3 linked regions of the Macaca fascicularis genome follow. The protein of the gene in region 3 interacts with the protein of the main gene of each other region in a pairwise test. Links are inferred from orthologs where the notes say so. Each region holds a gene or a part of one and is shown on either strand. Other genes may lie near its edges.

Evidence for each region.
Region 1: the proteins of CINP (region 3) and CLUAP1 interact in binary tests that used the Homo sapiens proteins (3 or more experiments, as listed by UniProt). The two-hybrid records come from large-scale screens. The link is inferred for Macaca fascicularis from reciprocal best matches to the Homo sapiens genes CINP and CLUAP1.
Region 2: the proteins of CINP (region 3) and ATRIP interact in binary tests that used the Homo sapiens proteins (3 or more experiments, as listed by UniProt). The link is inferred for Macaca fascicularis from reciprocal best matches to the Homo sapiens genes CINP and ATRIP.

What each region holds. Positions count from the first base shown.
Region 1 is NC_088394.1:4,278,480-4,282,129, reverse strand, and holds part of CLUAP1 (clusterin-associated protein 1), read right to left. Parts: intron 2,246-3,650; coding exon 2,134-2,245; intron 940-2,133; coding exon 855-939; intron 1-854. UniProt on the Homo sapiens protein: Required for cilia biogenesis. Appears to function within the multiple intraflagellar transport complex B (IFT-B). Key regulator of hedgehog signaling.
Region 2 is NC_088376.1:111,425,217-111,428,866, reverse strand, and holds part of ATRIP (ATR-interacting protein), read right to left. Parts: intron 2,232-3,650; coding exon 2,136-2,231; intron 1,809-2,135; coding exon 1,679-1,808; intron 1,487-1,678; coding exon 797-1,486; intron 1-796. UniProt on the Homo sapiens protein: Required for checkpoint signaling after DNA damage. Required for ATR expression, possibly by stabilizing the protein.
Region 3 is NC_088381.1:170,470,706-170,474,355, forward strand, and holds part of CINP (cyclin-dependent kinase 2-interacting protein), read right to left. Parts: intron 3,284-3,650; exon of another isoform or gene 3,282-3,283; coding exon 3,113-3,281; intron 2,637-3,112; exon of another isoform or gene 2,533-2,636; intron 1,112-2,532; coding exon of another isoform or gene 990-1,111; intron 1-989. UniProt on the Homo sapiens protein: Component of the DNA replication complex, which interacts with two kinases, CDK2 and CDC7, thereby providing a functional and physical link between CDK2 and CDC7 during firing of the origins of replication.

The sequences.
Region 1 (3,650 bases), on a different chromosome or scaffold from region 3:
GAACAACCAAACCCAGCCTACTTTCAATCTGTGAGCCACGAAATATGTTACCTATTCAAAAATAAAGAAACAAAATTCTTTTTTTTTTGATGGAGTCTCGCTCTTTTGCCCAGGCTGGAGTGCAGTGGTGTGATCTCAGCTCACTGCAAGCTCCGCCTCCCGGGTTCACACCATTCTCCCACCTCAACCTCCCAAGTAATTGGGACTACAGGCACCCACCACCACACCCAGCTAATTTTTTGTATTTTTAGTGGTTAGCCAGGATGGTCTCAATCTCCTGACCTCGTGATCCGCCTGCTTCAGCCTTCCAAAGTGCTGGGATTACAGGCATGAGCCACCATGCCTGGTATAAACAAAATTCTTAACAAATAATGAATTAAAAGACAAACAAACAAAAAGAACTTCGCTGGTGAAATGGCGCCACAGAAACCCAGCAATGGAATGGTTTTAGAAGGCAAACTCAGGCCAGGCATGTGGTGGCTCACATCTGTAATCCCAACACTTTGGGAGGCCAAGGCAGGTGGATCACGTGAGGATGGGAGTTTGAGACCAGTCTGGCCAACATGGTGAAACCCAGTCTCTACTAAAAACACAAAAATTCGCCAGGTGTGGTGGCGTGTGCCTGTAATCTCAGCTACTCAGGAGGCTGAGACAGGAGAACCCCCCAGGAGGTGGAGGTTGCAGTGAGCCAAGATTGCACCACTGCACTCCAGCCTGGGCGAGAGAATGAGACTCCATCTCAAAAAAAAAAAGAAAGAAAAATTCAATTACTCAGTTTCAAAGTAGCCCTAACGAGGAGTCATCCTTTCTAGTTTACTTAATTTTACAACTCCACAAAATAAGTGTCCACTAACCATGAACTGGGCAATTGCCTTAATGAAGAAAACTCGGTCCTGTTCAGTGTCCACGTCAGGCGGGATGTCAGTCTGGGGCTCATACCTATCAGAGAGATAAGAGGAGAGAGCACAGGTTAACCAAGGAGAAAGTCCACTAAAGAGAATGTGGGCAACTGAGAGGACAGGGGGTCTGGAACAAAGCTCTCCAAGTCCCCAAGTGTGATAGTAAGATCAATGCAAACTTCAAAAGTAAAACCAAAATACCAAGGGAGCAAATCCCCACCTAAGAACAAAAGATTTCAAAAACTAAATGTGGGTCTCAGCTTATAAAATTAAATCTCTCTCAGACCTCAACATATCATGAAACTAATCAGAACTGCTACCCTGGCTGACGGCCCTTGACTCAGAGCAGTACTAGGGCTGATTAGTCAGCTCTAAGCAGCAGCAGAGTTGACGAAGTTATTTTCTTCAAGGTATTGATACCAGGGGTCAGCAGACTGCAGCCTCCAACCTGTACAGCCTCCAAACTAAGAACTCTTTTTACATTTTAATAAAAAGAAGAGGCAATAGAGATCGTATGCAGTCTCTTAATTTTATGTTTAGCAAAGGTAAAATGTTTATTATCTGGTCCTTAACAGAAAAAGCTGCCAACCCTGAATCATATATCATATTCAATTTTTCACAGAAAAAGAAACCTACATTATTTCTAATCAACTGTATTGATTAGAACGTGCAAAAAGGCCCCCCTGTCACTCTGCAGTGAGGGGCTGAAGAGCAGCCTGGCCCAGCACCCTACTGAGGAATAGTCAGTCTCCTTTCACCACTTCCTGGTATATTTCCCTCTCCCACAGCATTTTTTAAACTCCACTGATTTTTTTTTTTTTTTTTTTTTTTGAGACACAGTCTCAATCTGCCCGGGCTGGTGTGCAGTAGCATGATCAGTGGCACTGCAGCCTCAAACTCCCAGGATCAGGTGATCCTCCTGCCTCAGCCTCCTGAGTAGCTGGAACTATGAGTGTGCACCACCCACGCTCAGCTAATTGTTCTTTTGTGTGTGGAGACAGGGTCGTGCTATGTTGACCAGGCTGGTCTCGAATTCCTGAGATTATAAAGTGCTGGGATTATAGGAACGAGCCACTGTGCCCAGCCACAGCTACGTTTCAACAGATTACAATTGGGTCTGTCAAACTCAAACAACTCTTCCTTTTGCAGCGTCACAACTATGTCCTGTTTTCTAGGTGACTAACAAATAAAATCCAGTATTCACTCTTAGACATCAATAAAGTGCAGTTCTAACCTTTTCACAAGCCAGAGAAGCACTTCAGATACAAGTCCAAAATTGGGTGTACGGAAATTTTCCATAGAAATATGTCGAGGGTATCCCAGGGCTCTCATCATCTCTGTGAAATCTGTCCAGGGAAAAATATAATTCATTCAGTTCCCCGTCACATAGCAACTACTTGTTAACTTAGATATTGTCTTTACTTTTCCTTCTTATTGCCAATCTATTAACAGCTTTAGGGATTATCTGTCAACTTTCTACAAGGGAACATAAAAAAGAGATAAAATTTAAAATACCAAAAATGCTACCTAAAAAGCATGTAAGTTCAACAGGAGAAGTAGATGGCTATACATGAAAATAGAATTGAGGGATTAGCTGTGAATTTCATCTCTTTAATATCTCATTTCTTTTTACTGCTAAAAGTAAGAAACACCTGTCCTTAAAAAATGTCATGAAGAAAAAGTATTTTTATCTTTTTCTTTTTTTTTTTTTTTTTGAGACGGAGTCTCGCTCTGTCGCCTAGGCTGGAGTGCAGTGGCCTGATCTCGGCTCACTGCAAGCTCTGCCTCCCGGGTTCACGCCATTCTCCTGCCTCAGCCTCCGGAGTAGCTGGGACTACAGGCGCCCGCCACCACGCCCGGCTAATTTTTTTTGTATTTTTAGTAGAGACGGGGTTTCACTGTGTTCGCCAGGATGGTCTCGATCTCCTGACCTCATGATCCGCCCGCCTTGGCCTCCCAAAGTGCTGGGATTACAGGCGTGAGCCACTGCGCCCGGCCTAGAAAAAGTATTTTTAAATGTCAACAGTGGTCTGACTCAAATTCAGCTGATTAAAAATTATTTTAAAATGTTAACAGTGGTTATTTCTGAGGCGAATCGGTAGGATAACATTCATGTTTCTGAGTTGTCCTTTTTTTTTAAATTTTAGTGAGCATATAGGACCCAAATAACATGTTTCAAAGATCAGTTGCCATGTATTTAGGGAAATCTTAAATACAGTGGTTGAACTACACAACCATGTTTAGATTTATTACAAAACAGATTAAGTAATAGTATTACTAATACTTGTTGATCCATAGGTTGGGGTCACCTCGGGAAAAGCATTAGTGCTTTCAAGAGAGCAAGACTTGGAAATGAACACCACAAACATTGTTGAGCTCCCATGATGTACCAAGATTTACATTCAGTGTGCTTCCTGGTTATTTAAGGTCTGTCTGCACTCTTCTTGAAGATCCATGTTCAAAATGGTCCATCAGTGTTCACAAATAACCTACCCCGGTACTGGAAGTCAGGTCAGACTTCGCAAGACAATGGAAGAAAAAGTGTGAGCACAGGAAACAGCAAAGTCACAAAAGGGACTCTGTAACTGTTTTCTGGGAAATGTGAATATGGAGATTAAAAAAAAAATAGCTGGGTGTGGTGGTGCATGCCTGTGGTCCCAGTTATTCAGCAGGCTGAGGTGTGAGGATCACCTGAGCCCAGGAGGTTGCAGTGAGCTGAGATCATGTGACTGCACTTCAGCCTGGGTAACA
Region 2 (3,650 bases), on a different chromosome or scaffold from region 3:
TACCCACAAACCATAAGAGGAACATGCCACCCCAGATGCATGCTAAAGATGGGCACAATGACAGGCAGAGACTCCAGCAAGGTCAGCCTGCAGATCCTCCCCACATCCTCTGCTTCCTTAGGGAACCCACTAAACTTCAACGTGCTTGTGATATATGGTCTTCACCTTACCCACATCTCAGGTTCAGAGGCCCCTTGTCTTAGCCCTTGTTCTGGGACAGGGCCCTCCTCCACAGAGGTTAGCAGCCTCCTTTAATCATGTGTGCCTTCTGCTTACCTGTTGTTCAGAGGCAGAATTAAACCAAATAAACGGCCGGGCGCGGTGGCTCAAGCCTGTAATCCCAGCACTTTGGGAGGCCGAGACGGGCGGATCACGAGGTCAGGAGATCGAGACCATCCTGGCTAACACTGTGAAACCCCGTCTCTACTAAAAATATAAAAAACTAGCCGGGCGAGGTGGCGGGCGCCTGTAGTCCCAGCTACTCCGGAGGCTGAGGCAGGAGAATGGCCTAAACCCGGGAGGCGGAGCTTGCAGTGAGCTGAGATCCGGCCACTGCACTCCAGCCCGGGCTACAGAGCAAGACTCCGTCTCAAAAAAAAAAAAAAACCAAATAAACCACTTCCTTGGTTCTCCCATTTGGTCCCACTTCCCATCACTTCAGAACTCCCTGAACCAGGCCTTAGAACTAACTAGTGTAGATAAGTCAAGATGTGAGCAAAGTACAAGAGACACGGGTTAGACCTTAACAGGTCAGGTGAGACCCACAAAGAATCATGACTCCTATGCTGCTTTATACCTGGGCAAGAAATCAGAGGAAGTGTTTTCGGCTAATTTCACCAAAACCTTAAGGCACTGGGTCAGGACACTGGCTTGAAGGTGACCTGTTGCTGCAGAAGAGAAAGCCAACAGGTGAAGAAGCATCTTCAACAGTGGGTGCTGTCCTTGGTCATCAGCAACCCCCCTTGGGGCTGAGGTCATATCTCCATCACTAAACCTGTGAACCAGGCTCCCATTTCCTTCCCCAGCAGCAGAATCTGCCCCAACTCGTGACAGTAATAGGGAGACCACTGCTCCGCTGTGGCACACCAGGTGCTGAAGAATGCTAAGTGCAGTCACAGAGAAGCCTTCCAGGATGCACACTGAGTCCTCAGGGTTGGTCTCTACCCCAGAGCTCACGCGGGAGGAATGTGTCGGTGAGTCCCCAGGTGCTCCACTTCTCTTAGCAGCTGCCAAGTCCTGCAGGGCCTGGCAGTGTAAGCCGATGAAGAACTGTACAAGGGGGAGGAAATGCACGGCTCCAGGAAGCTGGCAGAGTGGGAAGGCCCTTCTGCCTCCCTCTGCTGGGTCTCCATCACGTGAGCACTCATTCCTGGCAACCAGATTCAGTCCAGTGAATGCCAGGTTCTGTGCTTCTCTCAGGGCTGAGAGGGAAAATGACCCATCCTGAGAACCTGTGGTCCTGAGGCCTGACATTCCAGCCAAGGTACTGGCAACAAACACAAAGAAAAATAGGTAAGTGTGGGATGGAGATAAGGTCAAGGGCCCCAAACAGCTTGCCTGCCAAATTCTCCAGGCTCCCTGCCCTTCCCACAGACTTCCCAGGCTGGCTAGGACCAGAAAGGAATTTGCTTCCAGGAAGCTCCTTCCCAAACAAGCTTTCCAGGAGTCTTATGCTTACCTGCCAAACCCTGGTGGCTGCAGGGGGGTGCCAGCAGGAGACTCAGAACTACTACTCAGGAGGTGGCACAGGCTTAGGGATGACCCTGGGATCAAAGGCTGCTTCAGGAGCAGGTTTATCAAAATGGAACCTGTGAAGACAAGGTGACTCTAGAAGGTTCTGACATGGGAGATCTTTTCTGTGGCCTCAGAAGGAAACAGTAAGGACTCTTTGGATGCCAACTGTCCTCTAAGTTGCCACTAAGCCCCAGGTAGATGCCTGTGGGTGCGGAAGGCTCTGGGACATACCTGCCTTTGGCCCTTTCCACTTTATAAAGTCTTCTGCTTAAGCCACATACTTTGACTTCCCTGGACTCCCTGAAGGACTGCCCAGGGCGCCGGTTCTCAGAGGCCTGGGCAATTCTTCTGCATATCACTCAGAGCCATGCAGGCCCCTGCAGAAGCAGGGATTCTGGTACCTTGAGTGTTTGATCTCTGTCTCCAGCTGTCAACAAAGCTTTTCTGGGCCTCTTCTTGTTTTATGGAGTCACCTCTCAGACTGTGGGTCTTACTATCTGAAATGTGATAAAATGTAAATCAAAACTTGAGCACAAAAGCATGGGCATATTAGAAACTTTTACATGCAATGAGTTTAAAACACAGGCTGTTCTACTTCTTCCACCTTGGATCAAACAAGAGCCAAAGCAGCTCAAAAGCCCTGCATTTTTTACCTTTCTTATGTAAAACAGGAACTCATACAAGGAAAGGAAAAGAAAATCAAGCTGTTTGCCTCACTCAAAATGAGGCAATTAGATAAAACAGTAACCACTAACATTGACATGGTGCTTGTTATGTGCTAGACACTGTTCTAAGAGCTTTACACACATCAGCCCATTTGTTCCTCAGTGACCCTACAAGTAGTTATCATTAGCTCTGTTTTACATATAGGGAAACTGAGGCACAGAGACTAAAGGACTTGCCCAAATTACATAAGCCAGTAAGTAGCATTACTGGGACTCACATCCAGGCTATTGGGCTCTACTGCCTGCTTGTAACACTACTGTACACTGCCACTTTAGCTGCTAGATTCCAAAAATGTAAGTGGGCTGCAGTTTCTCAGAAGTGTGTAATGGCCAAGGATTTGAAAGGTTGATGGTAAAAAGAGGGTCAATGTATCTGATTTATAAGATACATTGACATAGCAGTCTGAAAACCTACTGATGTTAGATTGTCTCTCTCAAAAAAACAGCAGCATCCCCTCAACCTGGACTGAGTTATAAAAACTCAAAAGCTGGACTACAAAAGGAAAACAGAGGCTGGGCACGGTGGCTCATGCCTGTAATCCCAGCACTTTGGGAGGCTGAGGTAGGTGGATCATGAGGTCATGAAATTGAGACCATCCACGCCAACATGGTGAAACCCATCTCTACTAAAAATACAGAAATTAGCTGGGCATGGTGGTGTGCACCTAGTCCCAGCTACTCGGGAGGCTGAGGCAGAAGAATCACTTGAACCTGGGAGGCAGAGGTTGCAGTGAGCCGAGATCACGTCACTGCACTCCAGCCTGGTGACAGAGTGAGACTCCACCTCAAAGAAAAAAAAAAAAAAGAAAAGAAAAACAGGTTCCTGCATACTACTGATGGTTTAAAAATATACCCACAACCATGATGGCAGGTGCCTGTAATCCCAGCTACTCGGGAGGCTGAGGCTGGAGAATCACTTGAACCCGGGAGGCAGAAGTTGCAGTGAGTCGAGATCGTGCCATTGCACTCCAGCCTGGGTGGGTGACAGAGTGAGACTCCGTCTCCAAAAAAACAAACAAACAAAAAAAGCCCACAAATGCTTTGACACACCTCCCTTCAAAGGGTATAGCTTGATTTCCCCTCCTTGAGTGAAGCCCAGACTCAGTGATTTGCTTCTAACAAACAGAATGTGGCACAGGTGACGCTGTGTGACTTCTGAGGCTAGGCCACAAAAGGACAGCTTCTGCCTGG
Region 3 (3,650 bases):
GAGTTTCATAGATAATGCATTTTTTACAAATTGAAGGCCTGTGGCAACCCTGTGTATGTATGTACGGCAAATCAACCAGCGCCATTTTTCCCAATAGTATGTGCTTACTTCATGTCTCTGTATCATATTTTGGTAATTCTTACAATACTTCAAACTTTTTCTTTTTTTTTTTTTTTTTGAGACGGAGTCTCACGCTGTTGCCCAGGCTGCAGTGCAGTGGCGCAATCTCGGCTCACTGCAAGCTCCGCCTCCCGGGTTCCCGCCATTCTCCTGCCTCAGCCTCCTGAGTAGCTGGGACTACAGGCGCCCGCCACCGCGCCCGGCTAATTTTTTGTATTTTTAGTAGAGACGGGGTTTCACTGTGGTCTCGATCTCCTGACCTTGTGATCCGCCCGCCTCGGCCTCCCAAAGTGCTGGGATTACAGGCTTGAGCCACCGCGCCCGGCCAACTTTTTCATTATTATATCTACGATCTTTGATTGATAATCTTTGATATTACTAGTTTAATTGTTTTGAGGTGCCATGAACCATGTTCACATGTAACAGCGAGCTTAATGAATGAATGTTGTGTGTTCTGACTGCTCCACTGACTGGCTGCTCCCATTTCTCCCCATCTCCTTGGGCCTCCCTATTTCCTGAAATAGGAGGATATTGAAATCAAGCCAATTAATAGCCCTACATTGGCCACTAAATGTACAAGTGAAAGGAAGAGTTGCATATCTCTCATTTTAAATCAAAAGCTATACTTTGGCCAATTTAAGAAACAAAAAAATTAAAAGCTGGAAATGATCAAGCTTAGTGAGGAAGGCATGTCAAAAGCTGAGATAAGGAGCCAGGTGCGGGGGCTCACGCCTGTAATCCTAGCACTTTGGGAGGCCGAGGCGGGTGGATTGCCTGAGCTCAGGATTTCAAGACCAGCCTGGGCCACATGGTGAAACCCCATTTCTACTAAAATACAAAAGAAATTAGCCGGGCGTGGCAGCATGCACCTGTAGTCCCAGCTACTCGAGAGGCAGAGGCAGGAGAATTGCTTGAACCCAGGAGGCGGAGGTTGCAGTGAGCCAAGATTGCACCATTGCACTCCAGCCTGAGCGACAGAGCGAGACTCCATCTGTACAAAAAAAAAAAAAAAAAGGCTAAGATAAGCCAAAAGCTAGGCCTCTTGTGTCAAACAGTTGGCCAAGTTGTGAAGGCAAAAGAGAAGTTATTGAAGAAAATTAAAGGTGCTACTCCAGTGAACATGTGAATGATGAGTGAAACAGCCTTAGCGTGGATATGGAGAAAGTTTGAGGGGTCTGCACAGAAGAGCAAAACAGACACAGCATTCCCTTAAGTCAAAGCCTAATCCGGAGCAGGACCCTCACTCTCTTCAATTCTGTGAAGGCTGAGAGACATGAGGAAGTTACAGAAGAAAAATTTGAGACTAACAGGATTTGGTTCATGAGGTTTAAGGACAAAAGCCATCTCTATAACATAAAAGTGCAAGGTGAAGCTGCAAGCACTAATGTAGAAGCTGGAGCAAGTTATCCAGAGGATCTACTTAAGATCAATGATGAAGGTAGCTACACGATATGACAGATTGTCAATGTAGATGAAACAGCCTTCTATTAGAAGAACATGTCATCCAAGACATTCACAACTACAGAGAAGTCAATGACAGGCTTCAAAGCTTCAAGAGACAGGTTGACCCTCTCGTTAGGGGATATTGCAGTTAGTGACTTTAAGTTGAATCCAGTGCTCATCTACCATTCTCAAACTCCTAGGGCCCTTAAGAATGATGTTAAATCTACTCTGCCAGTGGAAAAAGCAAGAGAAGCAGAACTAGAAGTGGGGTCTGAAGATGGGACTGAATTGCTGCAATCTCATGAGAAAACTTGAACAGACGAGGAGTTGTTTCTTATGGATGAGCAAAGAAGGTGGTTTCTTGAGATGGAACCTATTCCTGGGAAAGATGCTGTGCACATTGCTGAAATGACAACAAAAGATTGAGAACATTACATAACTTAGTTGATAAACCAGTGGCAGAGTTTGAGAGGTCTAATGTGGGTAAACACTATTAAACAGCAATGAGAAAGAACAGAACCAGAATAGTGGCTCTACATTACATGGATGGCTTCCATGTTGAAAGACAGTGAGACATGGCTGGGTGCAGTGGCTTACACCTATAATCCCAGCACTTAGGGAGGCTGAGGTGGGCGGATCACCTGAGGTCAAGAGCTCGAGACCAACCTGGCCAACATGGTGAAACTCGGTCTCTACAAAAAATACAAAAATTAGCTGAGCTTGGTGGCAGGCACCTGTAATTCCAGCTACTCAGGAGGCTGATGCAGCAGAATTGCTTGAACCTGGGAGGCAGAGGTTGCAGTGAGCTGAGATCGTACCATTGCACTCCAGCCTGGGGGATAGAGTGAGACTCATCTCCAAAAATAAAAATAGAAAAAGAAAGCGAGACATAAAGGAAACACTAACATATGTTTTTTGTTTATGTAAAATCAAAAAATGGACAAAAAGAATCCATGGTAGTTTTTTCCATATCAGCTACATACTGTGTCAACATCATAGCAAAGTTTGAGGAAGGCACAGGTCATACATGAGCATGAAAACCCAATCATCACGCCTATGAACTACAAAAGAATCAAAGAATCTATGGTTTTAAAAATCAGAATAGCCAGGCGTGGTGGCTCACACTTGTAATTCCAGCACTTTGGGAGGCTGAGGAAGGTGGATCATGTGAGGTCAGGAGTTCGAGACCATCCTGACTAACATGGTGAAACCCCGACTCTACTAAAAATACAGTAATTAGCCGGGTGTGGTGACAGGCGCCTGTAATCCCAGCTAGTCCAGAGGCTGAGGCAGGAGAATCACTTGAACCCAGGTGGTGGAGGTTGCAGTTAGCCAAGATTGCGCCATCGCACTCCAGCCTGGGCAACAGAGTGAGACTTCATCTCAAAAAAAAAAAAAAAAAAAAAAAAGGAATATAATTTTGTCTCATGTGTCATCTTACCACTTGCTTTTTTTGCTTAATATTTTATTTTCAAATTTATTCATGTTGATATTTCCCCAGTTATTAAGGGTGAAAAACTTAGAGCATGAAAAACCAATATGTACTTACAATAAACTGATTTTCAAGTTGGCAATATTATTTGCAGCGGTAAAACCTGCATCACTGAGGGTTTCCCACTTCAGGATTAAATTATGCCAATCAGCCGCATTGTCCTTAATTTTTCTTGCACTGACAGATAAGACAGGTTTTCTGGGCGTTACAATTCCAACAGTCTTTGCTGATAGGGTATAAAAGAAACAAAATTATTATCATGGAATATACAATCATAGTTGGAGGGCAAATGTCCTCATAATTTTCAACAGTAAAACTATCTCAAATGCTGTATCAACTGGACAAATAAATGTGGAAACTACAAAGTCTGAATGAATGTGAAGGTTCCTGGAAGAAGACAACATAGAATATTTTTTTTTTTTTTTTTTTTTTTTGAGACGGAGTCTTGCTCTGTCACCCAGGCTGGAGTGCAGTGGCCGGATCTCAGCTCACTGCAAGCTCCGCCTCCCGAGTTTACGCCGTTCTCCTGCCTCAGCCTCCCGAGTAGCTGGGACTACAGGCGCCCGCCACCTCGCCCGGCTAGTTTTTTTGTATT